Diceros bicornis minor: one gene and its partners. The protein of the gene in region 4 purifies or fractionates together with the protein of the main gene of each other region. This does not show direct contact. Links are inferred from orthologs where the notes say so. Each region holds a gene or a part of one and is shown on either strand. Other genes may lie near its edges. The genes, in order: CUL4B, DCAF8, KLHL42 and COPS6.

Region 1 (7,872 bases), on a different chromosome or scaffold from region 4:
TATGGATAGCTCCAAATCTACATTCCCAATGTCTGCTCTCTGTTTTGCTTATAAAAAATATTTAAAATTCCTTTTAACATGATTTTGGCAGTAGGGATAAGCTGTCAAACTTGACTAGATCTTAAATACGTAGTCATCGCAAAGCAGGATTGGCCCCAGGCAATATTGTGAGGTCAACAAAATGTACTTTCTCCCCTTCCATTGCAATACCTACTCCTAGTTCTGTTTACCTCCAGGCACTTAGGACTTTTGTATTATCCTTTGTTCCCAGGAAGCATTCACCTTAAAGGGTCAGGAACTAAGTCTCTCTGGCTAATTTTCATGTGAAAAAAAGGATTCCTAGAGAAGGAGGCTATTTTATCGAAGGGAATGAATAAATTGTGAAATTTCAGGCATTAAAGGGAGTACAAAGGCTTATCAGCCCCATTCAAATCACAGAGGTACTTACTTCACTACAGCTGTGGTCTCAACCCTGGAGGTATGTAGAATCACCCTGTGAGATTCTTAAAAATCCTGATAATTGAGGCCTTACTCCAGAGATCTAATTCAGCTGGATGAGGTTCAGACCTGGGCAAAGAGGTTTTTTAAAAAAACTCCCCAGGCAATTCTGTCATACAGTCTGTTGTACAGTCAGAGTTGGGAACTGCTGATTTAAACCTAAGTTGGCCCTACTCTTGAGAAAAAGAAAAGCTGAATGCCATTGGAAGATCAAACCTTAAAGCAGGGTGGGGGTGGAGGGACTGTGGGGGTCATTGATAGAGTGAACAGAAGGTTAAAAATAGGCCCAGCAACTCCATAATAAGCAGGTGCTTGGCAGTACCAAAGGAAGAAGTAACCTGTGGCTGATCCGGTCCCCCATTCCCAAACCCCTAGGGAAAATGGCCTGGCCCTAACAGTTAAGGCCTTAAATCTGCTTTCCAGATGGTTCACTGGTATGACAGTAGATAAAAATCTCTGAGCTAAGGTGCTAAGTCCTCAAATGGCTGATGTACCTGAGTCAGTAAGTCTCCAGTTGATGAGATAATTTTACATAGAAGATAAACGATTTTGTTAAAAATATGAGATCTGTGTTATTTATTTACATTTTACTGAGCACCATAGGTTCAGCATTTGTTATTAAGTTCCTTTTGCTTTATAAAGCAACTCCAGGATGGGCAAAGGGTGAATTCACATAGTGTAGTGGGGTCATGTTTGCTTAAGTTTGGCCTCCCCAGTCCCCCATAGCTGCCCCCTGCTGTTGCTCGCATCACAAAGCCCTTATTATGATATAATGGTTAATATCTCACCACCGCTTGGTTTGCCCTCTCAGTGTTGCCCTGCTTCAAAGATGGTCCTTCAGAAGAGTGGATAGAGAACCATGGACCACCATTTGCTCAGCAGTTGTCTTTTCTGGACACATTCTTAAATAGTGCTTGCTGCAGAATCATCTTTGGTATTCTCCTGAGCAAGCAGTATCTCCTATTTTTAAGGAAATTCCCACACATGAATAACAAGGCTTCCAAGAGTGTCTGTCCATCAACAAGCTCCTGCTCTGAGATGTCTGGAGAAGACCCAAACACAAGCCCGCCGGGGAGTCCCCGTGATCAAAGCGAAACAGGTTATACTTTTTAGACAGAGACCTACAGAAATAGGGGAATGGACATTAGAAAAACTAGTCCTCTGTCTTTGTATTTCTTCTTTTATGTGTATATATTTACCTTTATAAATAGCTACAGATTGATTTATTTACTTGATTAAAACAAGGCCAATAATAACTATACCTCATCTGGTAGCACTGTAAAATTTAATTAATGTTTCTAAGGTATGAGTTGAACTCACAAGATGAAAGATTCTATATATGTAATATATGTTAAGTGTCCAATCTGGTTTAGTCTGATAATGGCCATAATTTATGTGCATGCCTTGATTATTGTGGTTTCAGTGAGTCTAACCTTGAAAAATGTATTTTAATGTTGAGAATGTGTTTAATGTTGGTTGGCAAATGTTTGGGTGTATAGAACATATGCTTATGTTTTAGCTAGCCCCAATTAGTTGATTCTTGATGTAAAAGATGTTTTACAAAGCAACATGGGAGGTTTTTCGTCTTTTTAAATTGGTCTGAGTGTCCAAGAAGACACTAAGTTGGTCTGTGCCACAAAATGTAAATGTTAAATGTTTAAAATTATTTATTAAAATTAATTATTAAATTATATATCCATATTAAGATGTGCTAAATATGTGACGATTCACCTGGCACAAAATAAAATGAGGTTTTAAAATGTCAAAAGGAAGATTATTAATCACTAAGAAAAAAAAAAGAAAAAATATTTTTTCCACAAAATTCACTTAAGGATATTTCATGGAAAACTTAAATAGTAGATTAGGCCCCTGGGTCATTTAAAGTGAGCTAGAGCTCAAGAGCCAAGGGTCTGTGCTTTTAGAACTAACATTTACCTGGGAAGACTGAAGGGCTTAGATAATCATGTCAGATTGGGAGCTATTATTACTAGAATGTAGTTGAATATTAACAGGACTCAGCTATCCTTTACGTTAGTATAAAAGTTTATCTTTGTATGGCAAAAGCAGTTTTCTTTTTATCTTTATGCCCATTCCCTTTCAGTTGCACTAATATTTATAATTTTTAAAATAGCTAGCACTCCATACACCTTTCTAAGGAATATAATTACATGAATTAGAACAAGGCCCACTTTTTTTTTTTGTCTTGAAAAGTCCTCAGCGGGTCCATCCATACACCCTTCTAAGGAATATAACTATATGAATTAGAACAACTTTGTTCATTAAATCCTGAAAATTAGCCAGTTAATCCTCCCTTATAAAGGCACAGCATTATTTTATTCTCATTCAATGAAATATTCAATTCAATAAGTATTTACTCTGCATTTACACAGTTGATCAGCATCGTGTGAAATGTGAGACACAATAAAGGAGGGTTTAATGTTTTAGGACACCTTCCCTGGCCTTAAGAGTTTACAGTCTCATTTCAGGCAGCAAGAACAATAGGGTACATTGAAAACAGATAGGAGTCAATCTTCTCCCTTTCAGGCCTCTATCTCCATTCTCTGTAGCCTAGGGTCCTAAGTGCCATTAGAGCCTTTCTCTCTGCCTGTTGTCATCAAACAGCACAAAGCTGATAGTGGCCCAAGGTGGTACCTTTTCTAGGAGGATCTGCATTTTAACTAGTCTAGGAGGACATTTTTAAAGTCTAGGAGGACTTTTCAAGACAAACAACAAAAAAGTGGGTCTGTGTAAACAAAGTTAGAATATTGACTTATTCTTACCGTTCTGATTTGTCTATCTCAAGCTATACAATACAAACTGCTTTTACTCCACCCACAATCTTGTCACGCCCCTGCTTTTAAAAGCCCAGCTTGCTGGCTCATCTCCATGCTGCCTACCCTAGCCTACAGGGTAGACTCCAAAATTTTTGGCTTTGTGTGCCAGGCACTCTTAAGCCTCATCTTCCTTCCTTCCAACCAGACATCCTACTTTCCAGCACTTTCCATATGTCCACAAACAGGCCAGGCACTTTCACAACTCCCTGCCTTGCCCGTGTTTCCACTTCCCAGAATGCCTTTCATGCTCTCCCCTCTTGTCTTTTTGGCAATTCCTACTTTGAGACCCAGCATAAATATAAATTCCTCTGTGAAACTCTGACTATTCCAAAATTCCCCCAAATTTCTTGTTTCACCTGTTCCCATAGCACTTTGTACATTTGTTATAGTACTGTTATGGAAATTAGTTTTGAAACTATCTTCCCCCACTGCCTTCTCAATGGCAGGCATCTAGTATAGTGTCTGGCATACAAAGTCGTTCAATACCTGCTTGTTGAATGTTTCTGCAGTTACAATGATCAACAGGTTGGCAAATTTAGTTTTATTTGACATTGTGTTCTCCCACCCCTCCCAAATGCCTTTGAATTAAATAAAAACTCCCAACAGGGAATTTACAAGGTTTATTGTTGCCAATTTACAGGTTTGTTCTCGTGAGTAATCTATTTTAAAATTTGGGCTCATGGAATACATTGGTAGAAAACATTGACTTTTGCCAATATTGTATTGCCAATATTATACACTTTGTCTCAAAGAAGTGTATAAACTGAGATTTGGTAAAAGAAGTGGCTTTGTTTAGTCTGTAAATTACTAGGTTAATGACTGATGGGGGTCGGGGTTGGGGTTGGTCCTGGGGGTTGTGTCGTGTGGGGTGGGGGTCGTGTTAGTTACCTTCCTGTTTCTTGGCCTTAAAATGCACGTTTAACTCTGGCCAGCTATCTTAGAAAATGCTCCTGGTAGGAAGGGAAAAGGATTTGCAGCTATATTACTGAGAAAGGTATCAAAATTCAGGCCCTATTCAGTATTGGGTCAGTGGTGTCCTTGACATAAAAGAGAAACAACTTATAGATCAACTGAATCAAAAACTCCCTTTCTTTCCATCTAAGCTCTTTTTCTTTTCCTATCTTAACATGACATTCCTCCTTAGTTGGAGGCATAATGGCATCATTATATTTTCTTCCATTTCGGGTTACTCCCCTCGCCTTGCAACTCCTCCTTATTCCTTTATCTCTTTCAAAGTTTCCATTCTCCGTTCCCTTACTTTTTACTCCCTCCCTTCCTCTCTCCCTCCTCCTCTTTTTTCCCAGCTAGCTCACCCCGCCCCTCACCGTCACCACCGCCCCTCCCCTTCAGCCTCCTTCCCGCTCCTTCTCCCGCCACCCCCCCTTCACCCGCCCGCCTCACGTCCAGAAAGCTCCAATCAGGAGCTCCGAGGGTGCCCGGAGGCCCGCCCCCTCCTCCCTTTCCACTTCTCTTCCCCCCCTTTTCTCCCTCCCCCACCCCCCCGCTCAAGTCCTGCGGACCTGGGGGCTTCGGGATCTGGGCGCTATGAAAAGTGTCTGCCCAGTCACTTCCGGTAAGGGCGTTGCGGCGCGAAGCTTCCCGCGGGACCGTTAAGGAGGGGTGGGAGTTACCGGCGGGCCGGGTGAGGAGAGTGCTGCCAGGGACGGGGAGCGGGTGAGGAAGGGGGAGGGAGAGCCAGAGCGAACGAAGGAGCACGAGCGTCTCGGGCGCCTTAGCCGCCCCTTGCCCATCGCCTCCCCGCGAGCCAGCTCCCCCGCCCCCCGGCGCCTGCAGTGCTTCTCTCCACCCCCCACTCCCGGGGACAGACGCCGCCCCTCCCTCGCGGCCGCGTGACCGGAAGTGGCGCCATCTTTAGCCTCTTGTGCTATTGACAATAACAAGCCCCGGTCCTCTCCCCCTTCCCCCTCCCCCCAGCCCCGGCATCTCCCCTCCCAGAGAGAGGGAGAAAAGGAGGAGGAGCTGCCGCCTCACAGACTCACTGAGTCGCTCCTGCAGAAAGGGGGGAGAGAGACCGAAAAGCAGGGGAGGGGGACGGCACGGCCGTTTACCTGTCTGCCTCCTCATTCGTTCTCCCCCCTCGTTCTGCTCACTCCTGGTGTCAGCCTATCCGCCTTCCCAAACCCTCCCATTCCCCCGGTGTAGCCCCCCCTTCACTTTCCTTCTCGTCCTCTGTGTTTCTCCTCTCTTCTTTCTTCCCTTCCCCCTCTAGCACTGCCACCTTCTCTCCTACACGCACGCAGGCATATAAACCTAGGTTTTTGATGCTCCTCTGCCTGTTGACCCCGCTATTTTCATGTTTCCAACAGGTTTTTCTTCCCCCAATCCCTCAGCTGCTGCTGCTGCTCAGGAGGTCAGATCTGCCACTGATGGTAATACCAGCACCACTCCGCCCACCTCTGCTAAGAAGAGAAAGTTAAACAGCAGTAGCAGCAGTAACAGTAGTAACGAGAGAGAAGACTTTGATTCCGCCTCTTCCTCTCCTCCTTTACAACCCAGGGATTCGGCATCCCCTTCAACCTCGTCCTTCTGCCTGGGGGTTTCAGTGGCTGCTTCCAGCCACGTACCGGTACAGAAGAAGCTGCGTTTTGACGACAACCTGGAGTTTGTAGGGTTTGATGCGAAGATGGCTGAGGAATCCTCCTCCTCCTCCTCCTCCTCTTCACCAACTGCTGCAACATCTCAGCAGCAGCAACTTAAAAATAAGAGTATATTAATCTCTTCTGTGGCTTCGGTGCATCACGCAAACGGCCTAGCCAAATCTACCACCGCCTCTAGCTTTGCTAACAGCAAGCCTGGCTCTGCTAAGAAGTTAGTGATCAAGAACTTTAAAGGTAACCAAGGCCAAAATCCATAATCACCTACTAAGGATTTGACACTTGAGTGGTCACGTGCTCTATGTTAATATATTAAACAGCATAGAGGTGGCCTAATGTTTTATGCATAATCAGTGAGGCAGAGGGAGGTCCTTTTTTGGGGGGGTGGTTTGTATCCTTGTGCTGAAGTATGCACTGGGTGTTTGTGTGTAGTATTTTGAGGTCTGTCTCAGCCTATTGTATCTAATCTGTCATTCCTGATAACATTGACCATCGGTATGATTGATCCGGATTTTACAGGTGAGAAATTTGTATTCTAAAGAGGTTTATTTATTTCAGGTGCATAGTGAGCCTTGGCACTGCTGGGATTTTTATTTTTATGCTTCAGTAGGCCACATTCTCCAGTCCCTAGAAATGCAGGTAGAAATGGTGACATTTTCATGCTCAAATAAGATTTATAGTTAGATTTATAATGTTGAATACTGTATTCTTGACACTCATTATGGAAGCAGTATTTGGAGAAAAATGTTTATGATCTCTGCATTTCTTCCCAAAGGTAGGGTTTGGCAGTGAAAAATAATGTGTATACACAGAAGTAGTAACTGTGTACCACTAGTCTAAAGATAGGATCAAGTACTGTATCTATTTTTTTATCACTAAGATGGGTTTTAAAGTACTAACCTGCAGCTTTTAGGAAAATTTGTTCCTTTTGTGTTTCAGATATGTGATTGAGAGTATTATGAAGGCATCGATACAAATATAAAATCAGCAATTTAAAAAAATGTAATTGAGCTGAATTACTTTTTATCCGTTGACTGTGTTTCTGTTTTTCTGACTAACTTTTTCAACACCCTTAACTGGCAGGTATTAGATGCTAAAATGTTTATTAAGTGGAGAAGTAAATGAATGAACTAAAGTAATATTTACCAGATAAGTGCCTTGTGGCTAGATGTTAGTATTGAGAAAATTAGATTTTCCATGCTTGTGTTTTCAACATTAGTGTGGAAATCAGGAATGTGCTCTATTTTGTCTCAAGCAGGGGGTTATAGTGTTATTTTTAACCATTTTTTTTCTATCACTCCTCTCCCATCCCCAGGATCTCAAGAGTGTTGTAATATTTCTGATTTAATAGTAGACTTTTCTGAAGTAAATATGAATTCTGATTGACTAATGTATTCACTGTTTCACTTAAAATATATCGATTTAATAGCCAAGGAGTTTTAAAGAGATGAGCTGTGATCCTAATTGCATTTGCATACTGGTTTCAGAGATTTTGTTTGTTTGGGTTTTTTCTCTCCCTCCTAAAATAAAAACACATTATTAAGGCATTTGGATGTTTTCATTTAAAAAAAGTACTCATTGCTGGTCAATGAATTTTAAACTAAAGCCTGGATTAAGATGTTCCTTTTCATTCTGAAAATGCTACATAGGTTCTGGAGTCATTTGGATGTTTTAATTTTTTAAAATTTTACTCTGCTCAGAAATGCAGTTTAAGTCAAAACCTGAGTTAAGATGTTTCTCTCCATTTCTGTAGATGCTGCATAAATGTGGGGGGTCAAACAGACCTGGATTAGAATCCCAGCTTTGCCATTGACTAGCTATGGTGACCTTGGGCAAGCCTTACTAAATGAATCTTCCAGCCTCAGTTTCCACAGTTGCAAAATAGGCGTAATAATACCTTCCTCAGGGCATTATTAGGAAGGTTC
Region 2 (7,375 bases), on a different chromosome or scaffold from region 4:
CCTATCAGAATCCCAGCTGACTTTTTTGTGGAAATTGACTAGCTAATTCTAAAATTCATGTGGAATCACAATGGACTCAGAATAAGAAAACAGTTCTGAAAAAGAAGAATAAAGAAGGAGAACTCACACTTCCCAATTTCAAAACTTACTACAAGGCAATGGTAATCAAAACAATGTGGTATTGGCACAAGAATATACATAGATACCAGTGGAATAGAATTAAGAAATAAACCCACACGTCTGGTGAACTGATTTTTGATAAGAGTGCCAAAACCATCCAGTGGGGAAAGAATAGTCTTTTCAACAAATGGTGCTGGGACAGCTGGATAGCCACATGCAAAAGAATGAGTTCAATCCTTACCTCACACCATATACAAAAATTAACTCAAAATAAATCAAAGACCTAAAAGTAATAACTAAAACCATAAAGCTCTTAGAAGAAAACATAAATGTAAAAGCTTCATAACTTTGGATTTGGCTAAAGATTCTTAGATATGACACCAAAAGCATGAGCAAAAAAAGAAAAAATAGATAAACTGGAGCTCATCAAAATTTAAAAGTTTTGTGCTTCAAAGGACACCATCAAAAAAGTGGGGGAAAACCCCAGAATGGGAGAAAATATTTGCAAATCATATATCTGATAATGAACTTGTATCTATAGTATATACTCTCTCAATAATAAAAAGACAAATAACCCAATTTAAAAATGGGCAAAGGATCTAAATGGAGACATTTCTCCAAAGAAGACAAAAATGCCCAATAAATACATGAAAAGGTGCTTGACATTGTGAGTTATCAGAGAAGTGCAAATCAAAACCATAGTGAGATACCACTTCACACCCACTAGGATGTCTAGAATCTAAAAATCAGACATCAAGTATTGGCAAGGATGGGGAGAAGTTGGAACCCTCATACACGCCTGGTGTGAATGTAAAAGGGTTCAACTGCTTTGGAAAACAGTCTGTCAATTCCTCAAATGATTAAACATAGAGTTAACTATATGACCCAGCAATTCCACTCCTAGGAATATACCCAAGAGAAATAAAATGAAACATACGTCTATACAACGTTGTACATGAATGTTTCTGGCAGCATTATTCATAACAACCAAAAGGTAGAAGCAACCCAGATGTCCATCGACAGATGAAGGGACAAACAAAATGTGGTATATCCATACAATGGAATAATATTTGGCTATAAAAAGGGATTAAGTACTGATAACATGCTACAACATGGATGAACCTTGAAAACATTATGCTAAGTGAAAGAAGCCAGTCACAAAAGACTACATACTATATGATTCCATTCATGTGAAAGTCCAGAATAGGGAAATCTATAGAGACAAAGTATATTAATGGTTTCTTAGGGCTGGAGTGGGATGGGAAGATAGAAGGGTGAAAGCTAAAGGGTACTGGGTTTCTTTGTGAGGTGATGAAAATGGTTGAAAATTGACTGGTGATGGTTGCACATATCTGTTAATGTACTAAAAGCCATTCAATTGTACACCTTAAATGAGTGAATTGTGTGGTATGTGAGTTTCATCTCAATACAGCTGTTTTTAAAAAAGTGCCGTTAGCTATCAGGTGTGTGAGTCTGAATCTTGAAGGAGAAGCCTGGGTTGGAAATAAAGACTTGGAAGTCATCATTATGTGGATAGTAGTTTAAACTGTAAGAATGGATAAAATCACTTTGGAAGAACATGTAGAATGAATAGAAAGAGAAGCTCATGAAATAAATGGTCAGAGAGATATAAATAGAACTATGGAATATAGTGTCACAGAAATCAGTGGGATTGAATATCTAGAAGGGGTAATGATCATCACAACTTCAAAGGCAATAGGAAAGCCCAAATAAAAAAGAAGATTTGGTGGTAATAGCAATTGACTTGGTGATAGTAGCAATGAGTCCAACAAAGCAGTGAGCCCAGAAACCAGGTGACGAGGAGGAGGCTTTTATCTCATAGCTCCACTAAAATCACTCTTGTCAAGGTCTTAAATAACTTCCATGTTTCCAAACCCATTTATACCTTAATGACTTCCCAATTTATACCACCCATTGTCCTTTCTTCTATGAGCTTCAGATTCATATTTCAATTGTTTACTCAGTAGCTCCATTTGGAAATCTAACAGGCATCTCCAGTTTAACATGTCTAAAATAGAACTGGACATTTTTCAAAAAAAACTCCTCCTACTTCACCCCCCTCCCCCTCCTGGAGTTCTATCTCAGTAAATTGCGTTACTATTTATCCTCTTACTCAAATCAAAAGACCTGGGATATCTTGACTCTTTATCTTTCACCCCATATTCAGTCTATTAGCAAATCAACTCTGCCACTTTCAAAGTACATCCTGAATCCAACCACTTCCTACCATTTCCACTGCAACACTAGTCTTGCAGGGCTTCTGCAATAGCTTCCTAACTGGTCTTTCAGCTTCTATTTTGCCTTCCTGCAGGCAGTTCTCAAAGAATCACCCAGAGTGAATCTCTTCATTTATAAATCAGATCATGTCATTCTTTTACTCAAAACTGTCCGTGGCTTCTTAACAGTCTTAGGATAAAATCCAAAGTCCTCTCCTTGGTCTATTAAGTCCATAAATGATCTGGCTCCCATCATGTTTTTCCTAATTTCCTACCTGCTCTTTTGCCATGCTGGCTTCCTTGCTGTTCTTTGAATGCATGAAGCACACTCAAGCTTCAGGTCTTTTTACCTTGCTGTTTCCTCTGCCTAGAAGGTTCTTTCCCCAGTGTGTATGACTCACTCTGTCACTTCAAATTCAAATGTCACCTCAGCAGAGGGGCCTTCCCTGAACCTGCTATGTAAAAGAGCACACCTACTCAGGTAACCCACTTTTACCCTGCTTTATTTTCCTTTACAGTACTCTTCAAAACTTAATATTATTGTCTGTGTGTCCCTTTCCTCCCCCTACTCCCAACTCCTGCAGTAATAAATAAGTTCTATGAATGCAGGAATCTTGGTTTGTTTTATTCTCTGCTGCAGCTCTAGTACCTAGAACAGGGTCTTACATGTAGTAGGAACTCAGTAGTTGTTGATGGAGTGAATGAACAGAATAGTAGGGCATTAGATAGCTACTTTGTGCCCTCTTCTAGGTATTGGGGTTACAGATGAAAAAGACATAGTCCCTGCCCTTACAGAGCTTATATTCTAGTAGTATAGTTAGATTACAAATATATAATTATAGGTTAAATGTTATAGGTAAAAAATGTTATGAAAAATACAATGCCGAGTGAGAGGACAGAGGATGGTGGTGTAGAGTACCATTTTAGTTGGAATAGTCAAAGCTGCCTCTGTGAGAAAGTCGCATTTGAGTAGAGATGTGATTAAGTGGAGAGAGTAAGTCTACTAAAGATCCAGTAAATGAACATTCCAAGAAGAGGGAACAAGTGCAGAAACCCTGGGCCTGGACCATGCTTTGGCTGAAGTGACAGCGAGAAGGCCAATAAGGCTAGAGCAGAGCTAGGCAGCAGGAGGAGATGAAATCAGAGAAGTAGGTGCCAGATGGTGTAGGGTCTTCCTTGGAGGCCATTGTGATCATTTGATTTTTGTTGTATGATGAGAAGCTTTTGGAGATTTTGAGCAGGGTAATAATATGACCTGCCTTATAGTTTAAAAGGTCACTCTGACTGCTTTATGTTTAACTAGCAAGGCAGTAATGGAAGTAGACAAACCAGCTAGGTGTCTATTGCAGTAGTCTAAGTAATATATAATGACTTATAATAGGATGGTAGCGGTAGAGGAGATGAGAAAGTGTCAGACTCTTGCACCCTGGCCTTCTGGTCAAAAATCCCCCAGCTTGGCAGCTGGGAGTAACCTTTCCAGTGATCTTCTCTACACTGCCTTTAGATGTCGGAACGAAGCAGAGTGTACATCACCCCCTTTGGAGAAAGAGCCTCTTGAATAGTTTAGCTGCACCTCAAGCTTCTGAATTCCTTCTTTAAAAATGGGTAACTGGAGACTCTTGAGGGGAAGCGGGTCTCGAAGTTATAGAAACCATTTAAGAAAATAAGGTCCTCAAAGGAAATGGGGTTTTCAGAAGAAATCTGGCAAGGACTGCTTGTTTCCAGTATTCAAAAACGGGGCAAAAATGGAGGTCGCCCAAGAGGTTGCCTGCCAACTCGTTAGAAATGAAGTTTATTTCCACCACAACCTTCAAAGGCCCCTAATTCTCATATGTTTTGAGAAACACGAGGGCAGCGAGCCCCTCAAACGCTACAGAAACAACTTTGCCTCTTCGGTAATGCGCACGCGCCCTCTCTCTGTTTGCCGTTGGCCTTAAGCCCCGCCCCATATGCGTCCTTCGAGGAGGGTTGAGAGCCGAGAGCTCGCGCGACCACTCTTCCCTCAGTCTTCTCCAGCACATCGTCGCAAACGGGGCCGGAAAGTGTGGCAGCGCAGGCGCAAGCGCAGACAGCGGAGGCGGTGGTGGTGGCGGCCGCTGGCCAGTGTAAGATGGCGGCTTCGTTGGTGGCGGCAGCGGACGGGGCGGCTGGGCCTGGAACAGTCGGAGCAGCCGCTGGCAGAAGGATGACCCAAGACGGGAAGCAGGCTGCTGAGCCTCGCCGGCTCCCGTGCTTGTAATTGCCCCAGCCGGACACCCCCCCCCCTTGACCTACCCGGTCCGTGTCTCGTTCCGGCTTGGCCTGCCCCCCTCTCCCGTGGCCCGTACCCCCTCAAGATAGATTTGACTCCTTTCCCAAGCTCCCACGGCTCAAGTCTTCTTCCCCTGACCCGAGTCACCGCCGGGAGGACTGGTTGCCCTTTCCTCAGGTCAGGTCTGGGGTTGCCCTCAAGGGCCTGCCCCCCAATCCACAGGGACGTCTTGCCTCGTCGGGTGACCCATTTGTGTGTGCTTTTTTCCCCCTTAGATTAGGGGAACGCAGCTCGCCTTGCGTCTCCTCGTCACCTCAGGGCCGCCGCGCAATGTGTCCCCTCCCCCATCCCGAGTTCTCGGGCCCAGCACCTTGTACGGAAGGCCGAGGTCCAAGATCCCTGGAGTCAGTTGTTGCCGTCTGGTCTTGTACCCTTTGTAATATAATTCTCTTAGTTTACCTCCCCTCACCCCCAAATCTTTCAGGACACCGTAGTACGGTCTCATTTGGTCCCTGTTCGTTGGAAAGCATCTGGTGGCTTGAATTTCTGACTCATATGATTGTTGCTGGAGTCTCTGTAAACAAACCGGCAGTAGCGCTATCACATTCTCTCCGGGATTTCCCCCCTGCTCTGTGGCTTCTGCAGAGGTTTGGTTTTGGGTTAGCGTTGAAAAGATTCAGGTTTTCCTTTTAAATGACTTTTACGTTTTAGTGGAACTGGGGGATGACTTGCCTGATTCATTTTATTTCAGTAACTATGTTTGTAGGTTATTGAGTAATCAGAATTAGATAAATTACTCTGCTTTAAATAGTTCTGAGGTCTAAAAAATACTAAAATGTATTCATAAATATTTTTTATGTTTAGTAGAAGAGACACCTTTGCCATTTAAACTTTAACTGTCTCAGTCCTTCAGTGAATCTACAGACCTATTTTCTCAGGAGCTCAGCCTGGCCCTACTTCAGTGATAAAGGAGGAAAGGTGAGTAGGAGTTGAAGGCATTTAAATTCTTGAGTCCAAGACAGACCTTATCCTGATGCTCAAGTGCTGACCACTGAAGTCATAAAATCCCTACACAATTTCCCAAAGAGTTGGGGCATTGTTCTTGGCTGTGTTCCAACTCTGGTTAAATTACTTTTACAAGTTTAATTGGCTGTGGGCATCTTGACTTTCTGTCTTAAACTGTTGCTGTCTATCTTCAGATAACTCCAGTTAAGCCTAGAAATGAATGTCTCCCTCTTTATTCATTTGCTTTGTGTTTTGCCTTTGTGTGGATCATGTTTCTTACATTGTTCGAAGCTGCAATGTAGCTTCGTAGTACAGGAAGGGAAAGTACTTCCAATGTAGTTTTGGAATTAGTTTGCCTGAGTTCTCTTCAGCCTTTTGTCAAATCAAGTCTCTTTCCCTTTCAGGGTTTTGGGTTCTTATTCCTTATTATTTAGAGGAGAATATTTAGCTCCTTGTCACTAAAAGCTGGAGAGTGATGAGTGATGCTGCCTTTAGTTAGTGTCTGAGTTCAGTCCTCCTTAGAATTCCAACTTTTCAGGACATAGTGGTAAATTTTGAGTGGAAAAAAAAATAGTGGCTGCCCTTTTATAGCTGGTCTGAAGAATTCTTGGTCAGCAGAGAAATCATCCTGTGCATTCAGCAGCATGGGCCAGTGCCAAAGAGGGAGTCAGAACATACTTGTAAGTGTAATTTTTGTAAGACTCTTGGGTTTCTGGTAGCTGAGAATAGTGCTATGGTTGAGGTTCATGGGATGTGACAGAGGAGCTGAGTGGCTCTAGAAGGTAGGCCTGGCTGATTCTTAATATCTTTATGATTTGTAGTAGGAAAAGGATGAGTGTGATGCTGTTGAGTTTTATTCCACACAGTGTCCCAACTAGAAAATGCTCATTATGAACTAGAATAAGATGATTATGGGTGGTATCTATGTGTATCAGCAAGATATAAAGAGAAAAGTACAGTCTTTAGAGCTGGGCAGACCTGGGTTTAAATACTACTAAGATTTATTAGCCTTGTGACCTTGGGCAAGTTACTTAAACTTCTCTCTTAATTTCCACATCTAAAAGTGAGATAATACCACTTAGCTCCCAGGGTTGTTATTAGTATTGTGTGAGGGAACCCGTATAAAGCTCTTACATTATGTCTAGCACACGATAGACACTAAAAGCTATTTTCTGTTTTCTTTACACATCATTGACACGGCTTGGAATGTTATACATTAGTTTACACTTCTTTGCATTTTGCTTTCAAACATGTTTTCCTGATTCTTTTTTCAAATTGATTTTTAATTGGTCAGCTTAGATGTATGCCTTGTGGGTGCCTACCTAGGGTTGGCTTCTGAACATGATTCAGGTCAGTCTGGCGGGGGTTCAAGACCAGAGGACAGCAGAATATTAGATGTCGGTGTATGTCTATCTCTAAATGTATTCTTAAACTAAACGTCAATAAGTTTCCTTCGTTCATTGCTTCCTTCCTCTTGGTCTCTCTATTAGCACATCTGATCAGAATTGACACAAGTATTGTAATTCTTTCCCTTCCTGCTTCAATGTTATTTACCACCTCTGCTCCAGCTACCTCTTATGCCTTTTTCTTTTTGCCATGGAAGGAATACATTTTTCCAAGCTGTTGGGCTGCACAGTGATCCTCATCAATAGATTATCAAAGAACTAGACCATGAAAAGGTCTCCTTTCTTTATGAAGTGAAGTCTGGGCTAGGGAGTTAGGAATGCAGAGTTTTTGATTTCATCTCCTCAGCTGGAGCATC
Region 3 (7,034 bases), on a different chromosome or scaffold from region 4:
TTTATAAATATGTATTTATAAATTTATAATATACAAGTATGTCTACAGATGGACATAATTTTTACTCTATAGTTTTTCACATCATTTGCAATTTTTCTAAGCTTGTATTCATACATTACTCAAATACTTGTTTTATCCAAAGAGGACAGAAAAGGCTTTCCTAGAATGAAAAAAAAGACTACCAAGGATTTGTGAAGAAAGAAAAGAAATCTGTGAGGTGTCGTGTTCCAGTCCTGGAGGTAGGGGTGGCGTGTTGAGCACCAATTGATACGGCTGGAGACGTGTGTAGAGGTGACAGACAACCTGCTGGGCCTTCACACCCAATCTGAGCACCACCCATAACTGCTGAACGTTCCTTTATTGCTTCAATTAAAGCTCCTAGAGTTTATTTAAAAATAACACTTCTGATATCAAAATTGAAATATGGCATCATCTCAACAGTGTAAATAATGCACTAAAAAGGGCCTGGAAGAAAATATGCCAACCTGTAGGTGGTTAATGCCTCTAGGAAGGAGGGAATAAGACTGATAGTCTTTCTGCTTCTTTTCCATTTTTTTCAGTTTTCTAGAATAACTATGTACTATTTTTAATCATCAAAAAAAAAAAGAACACTAGCGGCCGGCCTGGTGATGCAGCAGTTAAGTGCTCACGCTCTGCTTCCGAGGCCCAAGGGTTTGTTGGTTCGGATCCGGGGTGTGGATCCTGGGTGCTGCACCGACGCACCACTTGTCAGGCCATGCTGTGGCGGCGTCCCATATAAAGTGAAGGAAGATGGACACGGATGTTAGCCCAGGGCCAATCTTCCTCAGCAAAAAGAGGAGGATTGGCATCGAGTGGTAGCTCAGGGCTGGTCTTCCTCACACACAAACAAAAAAAGAACACTTTCCAAAATGATTTCATATTCTAGTAGAAATAAAGCCAGTGTTCCCCCCTGGCCTGGGGGGACCCTCAAGTCAAGTAAATAGTATGCATAATGGCCTTCCTGTTCCTGTGAAGACTGTCTTTGCCTGGTGGTGAGTGTCCCCACTCCTTGCTCCACACTCCAGGCCAGGGAGCATGGCGGGCCTGGAGACGGATACAGGTGGACCAGAAGAAGGGGTATTCTTGTCGTTTCTTGGGTGACAGTGATTCTTCTCTCCACTTGTGAATGGCTCTGGGCCGTCTTGGGCCCTACCGTCTTAACTTCCTACCACCTCCTCCTGCATCTGCTCTGTGCTCTCGTTCTCCCTTTCCTGGCTCCTTTCCCTACCCCACCCCACCCCCAATCTCCTTCTTTTCTCTCCCTTTCTTGAAGTCATGCAAGTTCATGTTAGGAGGAATTTGCAGGACGGGAAGGGAGAAGGTTAGGGTGGATGGAAATTTTCTAATTCTGTAAGTGATCACCGCCAGGCTCAAGCTTTGGGTCAATGACAATGACTGGCTCAGAAAGAAGAGAGATGCAAAATAGAGGATAAAACATAAGAAAGGCAATCCTATATAGCTAGTATTCATACAATTCTAACGACTATGTCCCGATGACAGATGGGTGACCCGGTGTGGAAGGCTTCAAAGCCATTAACAACAAAAAAATCCCCCAAAGTCAGTGTTACAGGTTACTGCCCAGTGTGTCATTATTATCAGGATCAGATCCTAAAAAATAAAAAAGGTGAAAATAAAAGCAAAATTAAAGAACAGTTTTAAGTATCCTTTTAGGAAACCACAACATCTTTTTTTCCACTGGGATAGAGGCAAAGAAAGTAGTTTGCCTGATGGCGAGATACCTGCAAGGCGCCTACTCAGCTAGTTGACCTCACTGGGGCCTCTTCTTCCTTGCAAGTTCTTAGTTCACTGGGAACTTTGCCAGAGTGGAGGCCAGCCACACTCCTGAAGACGTCATTCCCTCCTCAGCACAACCTCCTGCGATTGCTCAGTAAACATTAGGCGAACGAGTTAATGAACAAGTGAATGAATGAGAAAGAACCAGCGCTCTGCTGGGGGCTTACCTCTTCTGGTTCATGGAGGCCACCTGGAGCCACTCGTTGGTGCTGGGGTTGTAGGAATGCGCGGCGGCGATCTCCTGGCTAGTGATCCTGTACCCGCCCACTATGAAGAGGTAGTTGTCCAGGATGGCGGACCCGTAACCCCTGACATTCACCAGGTCGGGGGGAAGGTTGTTGGCCAGCGGGAACCAACGTTCAGTCATCTCCTCATACCTGAGCATGGACGGGGGCTCCCCCTGGTAGGGGTGAGGGGCCAAGGGTCCCCCCAAGAAATCCCCTAGGGCCACAAGGACAGGAGTCCCAGTCATCCGGGCCTCTCTCAGCCTCTGCTTCAGGCTGACATCCCCCGGAGCTTGGGGAGAAGCCCCCAGGAGGTGGAAGTGGGGCTTGCAGAGCACCTCGTGGAAGTGGACGACCATGAAGCGCAGGCAGGCCTCCTGCAGGTCGGGCAGCCCGTACACCTGCGCCAGGCGGTACATCTCCAGGCAGTTGGTGAGCCGCACCTGGGACAGCAGCAGCTGCAGCAGGGACGTGACCTGCAGGAAGGAGGCCGCTTCCACCAGCTCGGACAGCAGGCTCACCTCGTCCATCTCCTCCTCCTCCTCCACCCCGCCGCCCTTGTCCCCGCGCGGGCCCAGGAGCCAGCCTTCGCGGGCCCCGCCGGCGTTGATGAAGTCCAGCACCAGGCGCAGGCCCGGGGCGCTGAGGCCGCGCAGCTGCTGCACCTCGGGGCCGCCGGCCTCCTGGCTCAGGGCCTCGCGCATGCCGGAGCGGTAGAGCGCGCGGAAGTAGTCGCTCTGCTCGATGAGCTTCCTCTTGCTCACCGGGTAGCAGCGGTCCTCCAGGCGGATCTGCACCATCTCCTCGGCCGACATGGCTGGGGGGCCGCGGGCCGCGGGGCTGCCCGCCAGCTCTGCGCGCTCGCCTCCCCGCCCCCACGCGCTCGCCGGGTTCCGGGTTGGGCGCGCCGAGGGAGGGCGGCGGGAGGAGGAGGCAGGCGGAGGCCGCGGCTCGGGGCCGCGGCGGCGCCCCCGAGGCAGCCCCTCCTCCCGGGCCCGGGGGCGGCGGCCCTGCCCGGCTGCTCTCCCTCAGCGCCAAAAAAGGCCCGCCCGCGCGCCGGGCGTCGGGAGGCGGCCGCCGTCCCCGCTCGGGTTCTCGCGGGCCGCGTCAGCCGGGGAGGGGATCCCAGCCCCCGGCCTGCAGCCTCCTCCCCCGCCGCGCTTCCCGCTTCCGCCCGCGGGACCCCTGCCGCCCGCCGGACCCGCGCGCCGGCTCCCGCGCTCGGGGAGGCTGGGAGGCTGCCGGCCTCCGGCGCAGCGGCTCTGCAGCCTGGCGGGGTCTGCAGCGATGATCGCGGGGGACAGGAGGCGAGAGGAAGCCAGTCTGCTTTTTCTTCCACGCTGCCTTTTGCTGGGGGCGGGGGCAGCTGTGGGAGGATGAAGGGAGTCTGGGGTCCGGGGAGTCAAAAACACATCACATCTGGGATCGCCCATCTGGCCCAGTCGGGCTTCGTGTCCCAGGGGGCTGAGGCACACTGGCCGTCTCTGGACATGCAGGTGGCACCCAGAGGTGATTCTTCGGCATGGTCATTGTGTAGGAGCCATCTTGCAGAAAGAAGGTCCAGCCAGATGGCAGTAGGTTCTGCAGGGCTCAGCGCATGGGGTGCACCCGATGAGAAGAGTTGGGAAGCACAGGAGCTGGTATTTGCTGTTGGGGCCTGTTATCCTCTTTGTGCTATTAAAAGAAAGTCAGAAGGACAACTTGACTAAATAAAATTAGACCACGTGCCTTCTTTTCAAATATTTTCTAACAGCCATTGCTTTCCCTGTTTCAGTTTGGTTGGGCTAGCCATTACGGAATGTTATTTTGGGGCAGAAGGTCTGGCCGCTTTTGCTCATATTTGCCTACAGAGGTGGCTTTTCTTGCCACCCTCATCACCTTCCCCTGCCCCTACCCCCGCCGTCTGAGGACTGCTTAAGGAAGGACCACTTCCCCATCTTCTCTCGTGAACATTGCCAACAGAAAGCTCATCCCAAATAATACAAAGGACCATGTGTTGCTCATGAGATATGAATTAATCCTAGAAATGAGGGACGAAGGGTATTGTTAGGTTACCTTTGAGCAGAAGGAGGGATAGGATTGGGAGGGAGCATAGGGTGTGTTCACTCCTATCTTACATAAAACCCTTGAAAACTTTCTGGGATCGAGATTCAAGAACCAACCATAACAGACCTCAACCTGGGGAGAATATGTGTTTGGACTTTGTTTTTATTATTACAACCTTCAGCTTTCTTTTTGAATGGCAAGTTGTTAAATAAAGTGAAGGGAAAAGTGAAGGAAATACTGGCGGATTTATGACTTGCCTCTTTCAGTTATTTTCTTGGATTCTGTGAAAAACTTCTGGCTTTTCACCTTGTTTCACCTGGCCTTTAAATCATTACTGAAAAAATTCCATTCTCACATGAACCTCTCACACTTCTGCTTTGAATGAGAGTGCAGTCAAGACATTCTAAGGTTCTTGGGGGTTGAGTGACCATGAACTTAACGACCTCTTTGGGAAGGTAAAGTGCCCCACAATCAGTATTAGGCATTTAGCTGGGGGAACTCGTGCTAGGAGGTGCCCCCTGTATCAAAGGGACTTGGACCTGGGATTTATTTGTGTCTCCATCAGCAACAATGCTAGATTCAGTGGGTCAGCCAAGAAGAACAGGCACTTAGTCTCTCCTCCATCCCTTTAGAATCTTTCACTAATGGATGCTTTTGTTTCCTAACCGTCACAGATATGCCTCAGACTAGTATTTTCTTGCCTTTTAAAAACAGACCAAAAAAATCACGCCTAAAGACTGATGTGCATTAGAAAGGCAGTTCACGCACAGTAATATTATCAGAGCAAGATCAGCATGGACAGGGCATCTGGGCTGTTAGTCTGACAATACTGGGCACTAATCTTGTAAGCTTTAGGCCCCCACATGATAATAACGTCATTTAGGATTGGAAGCATCTTAAAAGATCAAATCATTTTAATAGCTCACACAGTAAGCTTTCTGTTAAGCTAGAAATGCAAAGTCAAAGCAATATAAACTTCTTTATTTACAAAAGACCTAAAATAGTATTTCTAAGCGTCATGAAAATATTACTTATATATAGCTGGAGGCATGCTTTTATAGATCTGTTATTGACTGATCATTGAATGATAAAGACTGGCCTTTGTGGTAACTATAATTCACTTCAAGTACTTTACATCATGATCTGTTTTACAAAAGATTAAATTAATAGTTAAACACAAAGTTAGGCTACTTAAGAATTTATGGAAAATATACTTTTTGACCTAGAATGGAAAAAAGCTAAGCACAAGATGTTTATCACAGTGTTGCCTTTAATAATAAAAAATTAGAAAACATAATGTATAATAACAGTAGCTAACATATTTATAAATGTTTATTATTTGTCAGGCACTGCTGTAAGTGCTTTCCGTGGATGACAACACTACTATTATACTATTTTACAGCTGAGGAAGCTGAGGTGCAGAATAAATTTGGGTACATATGTAGAATGAAGTACCCTAGAGCCATTACAGCTTTTGAGGTAGAGACAACTTTCTTTAGAGACATCGAAAAATATAATTTTACACTGGATTTTTAAAAAACAGTTTCTGGAACAGTGTGAATCCATTTATGTAAAATTGTATACAGGTATGTATTTTTTAGAGATTTCTAGAAGGGTGTTTACCAAAATGTGAAGATCGTAAGATCTTGAATAGTTTTTATTTCTTTTTGTACTTTTCTGTATGGTTTGGATTTTTAAAGTGAGTGTCTATCAATTTAATAAAAGCAAAACATTTTAAGAAAAATTAATGACATATTTATATTTCTCAGGCCCCATTTTTAAAAAGAATTTCCAACAATTTTATCAATTGATGAAATGAAAATGTTAAGTATATAATACAATTAGCATCTTTAGAATAAGGATGAAATATTGACTGTTTTGCAGATTTTTTTTAATTTAGTAAATCTATGCTATTACTTCACTACCACTTAAAAATTATTTATCTTTGTTTTTTAGTCCTTCTAATATTCCTAAAACAACTTTACTTCTTTTTGTTTTTTAACAAGCAAAACCAAAATATCTTCCTTTCATTAAAGCATATGGGGCCATTTAAATGAGTTAAAAGTAGTACAGTTCTCGAAATGGCTCTATTTAATTCAAGTTGAACATATTTATGTAAGCGAAGCTTCCATTTATCTCAGTCACCTATATCAGTGTTTTCCAAACATCTTAGGAAATCACCTCAGGCACTTACTTATAAAAATAAGAATTCTGGTTCTCACAAAAACAGAGCTACCGAATCAGGCTCTTGGGGACATGAGTGGTTTTTAAGGTAGAAATCTAATTTTTGAACCCCTCTCAAGAGGGCCCAATTGGAAATAAGTACAATATGTCACTGCATTGCAATAGTGCCATGGTTCTGGGTATTTGATAAAATTTGTACAAAGGCTATAGAGCAATTTTTTATTCAGAGTTGCAGCTACTTTCTGATTTCTGCAATTTCATCTCACATCAACAAGTTTTGAGATGAGATGCTTCTGGGCCGTGAATCTCAGCCCATGATGGATTCCGCCCTCTGGCCCTGCAGTCCAGTTTCTGTCTCTCCTTTTCAAAATACTTGGCTCCAAGAAGTTACTCATTTCCAGACTCAATGTTTATGCAATCACCAAAACATTTGTTTAAGAATTTTAAAGCATGCTTTTACATTGGAACTTGTAGATTCTTTAAAATGCAACTTTGCTCTTCACTTGAACATCATTTGACAGCAGAAGGATTAAACAATTGTAGATTGTTCTATTATCCCTGCAGGGAACATGAGAACTTCAAGGAATTATATTTCACACAAAAGAAACGGCATTTAATGTGACTGAAAGACGTGGAGGTTAGAAGGTTAGAAAGTAAATTTTCTAGTTTATGCCCCCAGAGCATGAACTAATTGAAACAGCTATAGTATCTCATAGAAAAACAGAGAGTAACTTTTGTTCCTCATCTGTCCCTTGCTTTGCCATT
Region 4 (6,956 bases):
TCAAGGCTGTGAGATGTCCCTGATAGAAATGTGCTTAATATCCCTCTCCCTCCCACTCCCCTTTTTGTGTGTGAAAAACAATTTAGCTTGGGAAAGGAGTCACTTGTCTTATTTCCAGAGTTGGTCTTTGTGAGTTGATGTCACAAGGAGACATTAAAGAGCAGAACAGAGCTCTCTTAGGTGGAAGGCAGGCTTTGGCTCAATAGATAGTCTACCTGACTGGACATGGGGTCACTTCAAATGGCAATAAGCTCCCAAGCTGAAGGGTGTGGAGAAGAGCTGACGATAAAGAAGGGACTGGGGCCTCGGAGCAAGGCTGGAACCAAGGGCCTCTAAGATCCAATTTGAGAAACCTGTGTGGTGCCTAATAGAGGACAGAGCCACTGGAAGGGGTGCTGAGGGGCTGCTCCCCTTTTATTAATGACAGGTTTCTGTGAAGGGAATTGAGCACGCCTCCCATCTGGGACAGCTGTCTGACCCCTTTGCATCATTCGTTCAAGTACCCTCTCATCAGAAGAAGAGCCCCCGCATCCGCCTGCCGATGCCTTGTCGATCGTAGAGGACGTTGAACTTGTTCACAAACTGGTTCATGGTGTTGCATGTTTTGGTGATGGTGCCAAGGTAGGCCATGAGCCCCACGTCATTGCATTGCTGAGAGGGAAAAGACAGAACCAGTTGCCCTGGGGAATAGCTGAGTCCCATGTCCTGCTACGCATAAACCCCACTTCCCCATCCTAGGTTTTACACTCACATCATAAAAGTCTGTCTTGAACTTGTCTGTGCTGAGCACTGGGAGGCAGTGACACAGAGCGTAGGCCTCTCGCAGGATCTCATGGTTAAAGGGGACTTCCCCTAAAAGCACAAAAAGAGGCTGCATTAATGTGGATGCTGTCATTTCCCCAGGAGGGAGAGGAAAAGTAAAAGTGCCAGGGAGACACCTGTCCTACCTGCTTCAGAGGCCTTGACATACTCCAAGATGAGCTTGACGCGGCTGTGCAGCATCTTGATGGCGCTGTGCTGTGCTATCAGGTGTTCAGCCACTGCATGGGGACGAGAACAGGCCAAGGTTGAGAAGGCATGTGGCCACACCTTCCACCCCCACTTCCAAGGAAGCCCCTCCAGCCTCCATTACCAGTGGAGTTCTCTCCACTGCCTGTTGCTGTCATTCGGGCCACGTGATCTACACCAATGCGTTCAGCTTCCTCTGTCGCCAGAGTGTAGGTCAGCTCAGCAAACAGCATTGTGGCCTACAGGGCACGCAGGGAGAGTCAAAAGCCTGAAACGCCAGGGGCAATTTCCTTCTGCGAGTCCAAGGGCAGGGCATTACCTCTCCATTGATTATATCGATGACAGACTCAAAAACGCTGACGGGAAGCTGTAAAGGAGAGACGGAGAACAGCTCTTACTAACATCAAATGCACCTGAGCCTATATTATGAAACAAAAATTGGGCCTGGCCCTTTCACATTATATTTTCTCATGTAAATCTTCCCAAGGACCAGTGAAGTAGGGATTATCTCCATTTTACACACGAGGAAAATGCAGTGTAGAGGTTAAATGACTAACCCAAAGTCACACAGCTGGTTAAGTGGCAGAATGGAGACTCGACTCAATAGAGATGGCATACAGTAAAATAACAGGCACAGTGATAGAAGAGCAGGACAAGTGGGCGTGGGGTCAGTATTACTCACATCTGTGTGCTTGGTCATAGGGTTCAACTTAAGAAAGAGGGGGCTCTCGATTATCTCGCACACCTGGAAGACAGGGAAGATGGACACAAGTGTCAATGCCCATCTTTCTTCCCCTCATCCTCTATTCTCTGTCCCCCCTAGCATGCATGTGTGGCAGCATGTATACCTGCTTATGGACGTGGATGTCGGAGGGGTCAGGCGGCCCCCCTGTGGTATACCAACCCAGAAACTCCAGCTCCTTGAACACCTGTTTAACTGGAGAGGAAGGGGCAGGAGAACATAGTATTGCTTTAAACGATACTTCCTTTATTTAAAGCTCCTGGTATATTTTCATCAGTTTCTCCCCTCTCCCCCAAATCCTGGCTCAATTTAGAATGTTTTCTTTTTCTGAGATCTTTTCAGCTACTCTCTCTTGACTTTTCCTCCGTTCTCATCCTCTTCTGTTTACTTCTTCCCAACCCTCTCCATCTGCCCCACTCTGCTTTTTCTTGACTCCCACTCCTCTCCCCCACTTCTATGCCCCTCTCACACTGCTCCTCCTTGGTGTAATAATATTCCTTGTCAATGATAATCTTCTCCTCCACGGTGTGGGACAGCAGCTCAAAGGAGTTCATCACCTCGATATTTCGGCCCTCCTGCTTCCCGATCAGAGCCCCAATCACTGGGGGAGAGAACGACACACAGAGGTGAGAGTAAGGAATCCTGAAACTTTTTCCTAACCATTATCGCCTGAGGGTCTGAGGTCGGTTTGAACCAAGTACTGGGGAAACGGTGATTTGGGAGAGGGGGAACTAGCTTCAGGAAAGGAAGAGGAAGAGACCACTATTTGAGGGAGATGACCAAGGAAAGGAAGTTGGAGAATTATGCCCAACACTCACCCTGCATAGGCCGCCCCTCCTGGGAGCGCATGCGAATCCAATGGTCTGAGATGTTGAGAATGACGAGGGGATGAAGAGCGACTGAGACACTCCCAGTCACTCCGGAGGCCATCACGCTGGGGACTACTAAGGGTGGAAGAAAAGGAGGGAGGGTGAGAGTCCGGGCCCCACGTTCTTCCCCAGAGATGACAGTAGGGGACAGCAGAGCCGGAGCCATACATCCCTCCCGCAAGTTATCCCAGGGAGCGATGTTGCCGTCCCGCCCTCCTGACTTCTCGGAGGAGTCAGGTCTTGACGCAAGGAAGGCCTTGACGCACCCCAGAGGGCATCTCCAGAAGCCGCCCCCGCGCCCGTTACCTGCTGCATCCACCTCCATCCCGCTGCTCCCTCCGGTCCCGTTCGTCACAGCAGCCGACGCCATTTTCCCCGCGCCCGGCGCTCGGCCCCGCCCCCCTCCCGGCTTCCGTACGGCAGCGGCGCATGCTCAGTGCCCCGGCGGCCCCTTCAGCCCGGTCTCGGCTGGCTGGTCTGGCGACTCGGGGCGGGGTAAGCTCGAGGCCCGCGAAGCCCCAGAGCCAACAGATTTTCGTAGACCCTGGTACCGCTTCTCGCCTGCGGCTGACCTTAAACAAATTACTAACCCCACCTTGCCCCAATCTTACCGTTCTCGTCGGTAAAATTGGGATAAGACTGCCTAGTTTCTAAGGCTGTTGCAGAGTGAATGCAATGTCATGTTATTCCCCAGAATAAAATCCAAGCTCCTAACCACGGCCTGCAAGACCCTGCATGATCTAGCCCTGCCTGCAGCTGGCCCTGGCCTCTGCTTTCCTGCCCTTGGTCCCCGTGTGCAGCCACGCTGGCCTTCACGTCTGTTCCTTTCACAGGCCCCACTCAAGGGCCTTCTGTCGTGTTCATCGCTGTATCCCCTGTGACCAATACGGTACCTCACACTCGGGCACCTGAATAATTTTTGAGTGAATGAATGAATGAGTAGTTTGGGGTGGAGCCTGGTCTTGAGTGGCTCCGTCTGCATGTCCTATCTTTCCTCCTTCTAAGCATTGGCGTTACCTTCAGTACTGGGAACGTCCCCGGCATTTTCTAACCCCTCTCAACCTCCGTCTCTATTCTCTATCTCCATCAGTCTTTCAAAACTCCCCTCTGGTAAACCTAGCCCACTCCAGCCGTCTCCCCTCTCCTACACCCGAGCAAGTTGTGTGCACTGCCTTTACCCTCTCCTGCTGCCCCTAAATGGCTGGCTGGCTCATTTAGTATCTGTCTATACCCCACCCAAAGTGTAAGCTCTAGAAAGCAGGTAGAGACCTGTGTCCTGATCCTGTAGAGCCTATTCTGGTGCCCAGAACTAGCAGGTACCAGGAGATGTTTTCTGGTGATAACGGTGACTTATGTGAATTAAGCAATCTCTCCATTTAGGAGCCTTGATGAAGGGAAGTTCGAGGGCCAGCAACCCTCAAAGGAAGGGGCCTGAGAAATCCTGCTGGGAGAGAGGTCTTCCGGTCAAGGGGAAGTTAAGAAACAGTTTATCTCATTCTAATTCCCAGTGTAAAACCTCCCAGCCAACTGAGATGGTTATGGAAGAAAAGCATATATGCCTCACTTCTCTTAGGAAAAATGAAGTCAGAAAAACGTATCTCTGTTAGATGGTAGGCAGCTTCTAAGGAATTTAATGCTTGTCAGCTAGATTGAAGGCTAAAATAAAGATAAGAATTATTGTGGTGTTAATAAAGTTGATAGTTTGCGTTGCTGTTTCACACACTAAAGAACTCCTTTGTCTTTCTGTTGTTTCAAATGCTTTTGAAACATTGTTGAGACAACTATACAACTCATAAAGCAATGGTTATTGTGAAATTTAAAGGTGACTTTGAAGTTGAATCCGTTGATTATACATGCCTTGGAAGTAAACTCATTGAGCATTTCTTAAAAGTGCCTTGTATTTAAAAACTACTGAAAAAGTCTCAAGTCCCTCTGTTCCCATTGTCACATTGCCTTCTGTAGTAAAATCTCTATTTCCTGCTTATAAGGACAGTTGGGATAACATTTAGTGCCCACTGGAATAATCCAGGATAATCTCCCCATCTGAAGATTTGTAACTTAATCATATCTGCAAAATCCCTTTTACCCTATAAAGTGACATATCACAGGATTAGGACCTGGATATCTTTTGGGAGCCATTGTTCAGCCTGCCACAGCATGTGCGGGCCACTATAGGGGGGCTGGAGAGCAGTGTCTTCAATCAAGTGGTCATTGTCTTCACGATCTAGAACGATGTCAGTCCAAAAAGAGAATCCTTGTGGCTGGACCAGATTTAAGTTGGAATTCCCTAGGCTCTCTTTTGGCCGGGCTGTACCCAGAGGGTCTACCAACCAGGCTGGCCTGTGGTAGCCATTAGGAGAAAAAAAAAAGAATCATCCCAAGGAATGGTCAGGGCAGAATCTTTAATTTTCAAAATAAGTCTGGACAGCTCCCCACTCCTTTCATCCCGATCATTACCCAAGAGGTAGCTGACCAGGAGGAGACAGCCACATTCAGTGACCAGGCTGCCTTACTAAGGTGTGTGGACCAGGAGGAGGTGAAGGAGGTAGAGCTGATTTTGAGGAGGCCATTCCAGTGCTCGGCAACCAGATGCTGTGGATGGTAGGGGGTGTGGATTGTCCATCCAACACCCTGACTATTGGCCCATTTTGGGGTGGCTTTTGTGACAAAAGGCGCACCAATGTCAGACTGTAGAGGGTCTGCAAACCCTAAAACATGACCAGTTTAGTTTCCAGGGCATAATGATGTGGCCTGAGTCAGCAGATCAGACTGGAACAAAAACACCAGCACCAGGGGAGCCTCTCTAGGGAAAGGGTGTCAAAGGTTCGCTGGAGTCAGTTTACCAGGAGCGGAAGGGAGCTTCTGGAAGGTGCAAGTTTGATCAGCAGCTTGGTGCCAGTCAGTCTTATCAGAGACCAGGTGCCCACCATGAGCATCCACATGAATGACCCAATTGTCAGATAGAGATAAGGTGTGTTTGCATAGTTCACTGCCCCAAAGGATGTGTCTTTAATTTTCCATATCTGTCATCTTCCAAGTGGCGAACCAAGCAGCCAGGCCATTGGCTAACAACCCAAGTCAGTGAAATGTAACCAGGTTCATCAAGGGGAGTGCTGGCCAGACTTGGGCTGAGAATGGCCTTGAGTTTTGCCCACTGAGCAGAGTGATGATGTCCACTTTCAGTTTTGTATAGTTGGCCCTGAGGCTGGACAGCAGCAGCCACCCAATGGGCCCCAGCAGTTTTCAACTCAGCTAAGCCATCAGTGAACAAAGCCCAGGCATTTAGGGGAACCTCTGAGATCTGAGGGACCTATTGATCCATGTCTTTGCTTTAGGTGATTTCTCCCAAAGCGGTAACTGCCATTTTTTCATGAAAAACTCCTCTAGGGTCACGCTGACTGCCCTCTTTAGCATACCATTTCCACTTGACTAGCGAGGTGTTTTAGGCTCTTCCCATCTTGTTAATCATCGGGTTTGACTTGATTCACCCCAAAATGGGGGTACTAGGCTGGAGAGCTACAAAGCCTCCTAGGCCTGGAGTTCTTCAGTAGCAGGTGTACCGGGTGTCTGCATCCGACAGGCGGCGCTATTGCACTGAGAAATGGCCTCTGCGAACACTGGCAGCAGCAATCAAGTTTTTAAGAAAAGCTGTGATTTAACCTCGTATTCTTTATTGTTTATGCTGGACCATCCGGGAGGGGAAAGAGAGGCGGGTTGGGGAGTGATCTGTGAGTCCCACTGTCACCCTCTACATACAGCAGTCCCTGAATGGGAAAATCCCCTCTAACCCTTAAAGGACTAGAAAAGTGCAAGCATATAATCCATCAGTTCCTGCGACATATTCAGGTGTAGAAGCAGCAAAGACATCGGGCTCCACACAAGATCACTTTAGCTTCATTTCTCTACTGCAAACCTTGTCCAACCCCATCAGTTGAATTCAGGCGCCTCTTCCCCTACAGGAACAAGGACCAAGAAATCTAACTCATCTTTGTCAGGGGCTACAACAACAACCATCAGGACACCGCTCTAATCCCCCTGGCTGCGGGCGCAGGGCAGAGAGGGAAGCTGGCCTGCAGGGCATGCTGGAGGCAGCAGAGGGGAGACTTAACTGTCAGCCTTTTTCCTTCTGTGTCCTTGTACTTTAGGGTCAGCGCTCACGATTTAGTACTGCCTCCTCCCTCGTGGGGTCAGGTGGTACTTCCTGGCATCCTGTAAATGCCCTAGCCCAAGGAACCCTTTCTTTCTGCACCGATGCATGTTGCTGCATTCCTGCAGTCCTTGGCACCTCAGCCACCCCTGTGCCCAGCACCCTGTCCATACTGATGGCTTGTAGCAGA

Evidence for each region.
Region 1: the proteins of COPS6 (region 4) and CUL4B purify together in Homo sapiens (affinity purification with mass spectrometry; 8 studies listed by BioGRID and IntAct, counting the BioPlex papers as one, with this or other methods). This does not show direct contact. The link is inferred for Diceros bicornis minor from reciprocal best matches to the Homo sapiens genes COPS6 and CUL4B.
Region 2: the proteins of COPS6 (region 4) and DCAF8 purify together in Homo sapiens (affinity purification with mass spectrometry; 3 studies listed by BioGRID and IntAct, with this or other methods). This does not show direct contact. The link is inferred for Diceros bicornis minor from reciprocal best matches to the Homo sapiens genes COPS6 and DCAF8.
Region 3: the proteins of COPS6 (region 4) and KLHL42 purify together in Homo sapiens (affinity purification with mass spectrometry; 3 studies listed by BioGRID and IntAct, with this or other methods). This does not show direct contact. The link is inferred for Diceros bicornis minor from reciprocal best matches to the Homo sapiens genes COPS6 and KLHL42.

What each region holds. Positions count from the first base shown.
Region 1 is NC_080781.1:111,043,231-111,051,102, reverse strand, and holds the start of CUL4B (cullin-4B), read left to right. Parts: upstream 1-4,862; 5' UTR 4,863-4,877; coding exon 4,878-4,905; intron 4,906-5,659; coding exon 5,660-6,184; intron 6,185-7,872.
Region 2 is NC_080743.1:64,933,428-64,940,802, reverse strand, and holds the start of DCAF8 (DDB1- and CUL4-associated factor 8), read left to right. Parts: upstream 1-4,368; 5' UTR 4,369-4,462; intron 4,463-4,468; exon of another isoform or gene 4,469-4,785; intron 4,786-5,472; exon of another isoform or gene 5,473-5,586; intron 5,587-7,375. UniProt on the Homo sapiens protein: May function as a substrate receptor for CUL4-DDB1 E3 ubiquitin-protein ligase complex.
Region 3 is NC_080756.1:35,317,241-35,324,274, forward strand, and holds the start of KLHL42 (kelch-like protein 42), read right to left. Parts: upstream 3,017-7,034; 5' UTR 2,855-3,016; coding exon 1,983-2,854; intron 1-1,982. UniProt on the Homo sapiens protein: Substrate-specific adapter of a BCR (BTB-CUL3-RBX1) E3 ubiquitin-protein ligase complex required for mitotic progression and cytokinesis. The BCR(KLHL42) E3 ubiquitin ligase complex mediates the ubiquitination and subsequent degradation of KATNA1.
Region 4 is NC_080765.1:5,681,854-5,688,809, forward strand, and holds COPS6 (COP9 signalosome complex subunit 6), read right to left. Parts: upstream 3,011-6,956; 5' UTR 2,990-3,010; coding exon 2,926-2,989; intron 2,695-2,925; coding exon 2,569-2,694; intron 2,352-2,568; coding exon 2,220-2,351; intron 1,946-2,219; coding exon 1,857-1,945; intron 1,754-1,856; coding exon 1,691-1,753; intron 1,376-1,690; coding exon 1,328-1,375; intron 1,248-1,327; coding exon 1,133-1,247; intron 1,041-1,132; coding exon 948-1,040; intron 853-947; coding exon 752-852; intron 652-751; coding exon 511-651; 3' UTR 391-510; downstream 1-390. UniProt on the Homo sapiens protein: Component of the COP9 signalosome complex (CSN), a complex involved in various cellular and developmental processes.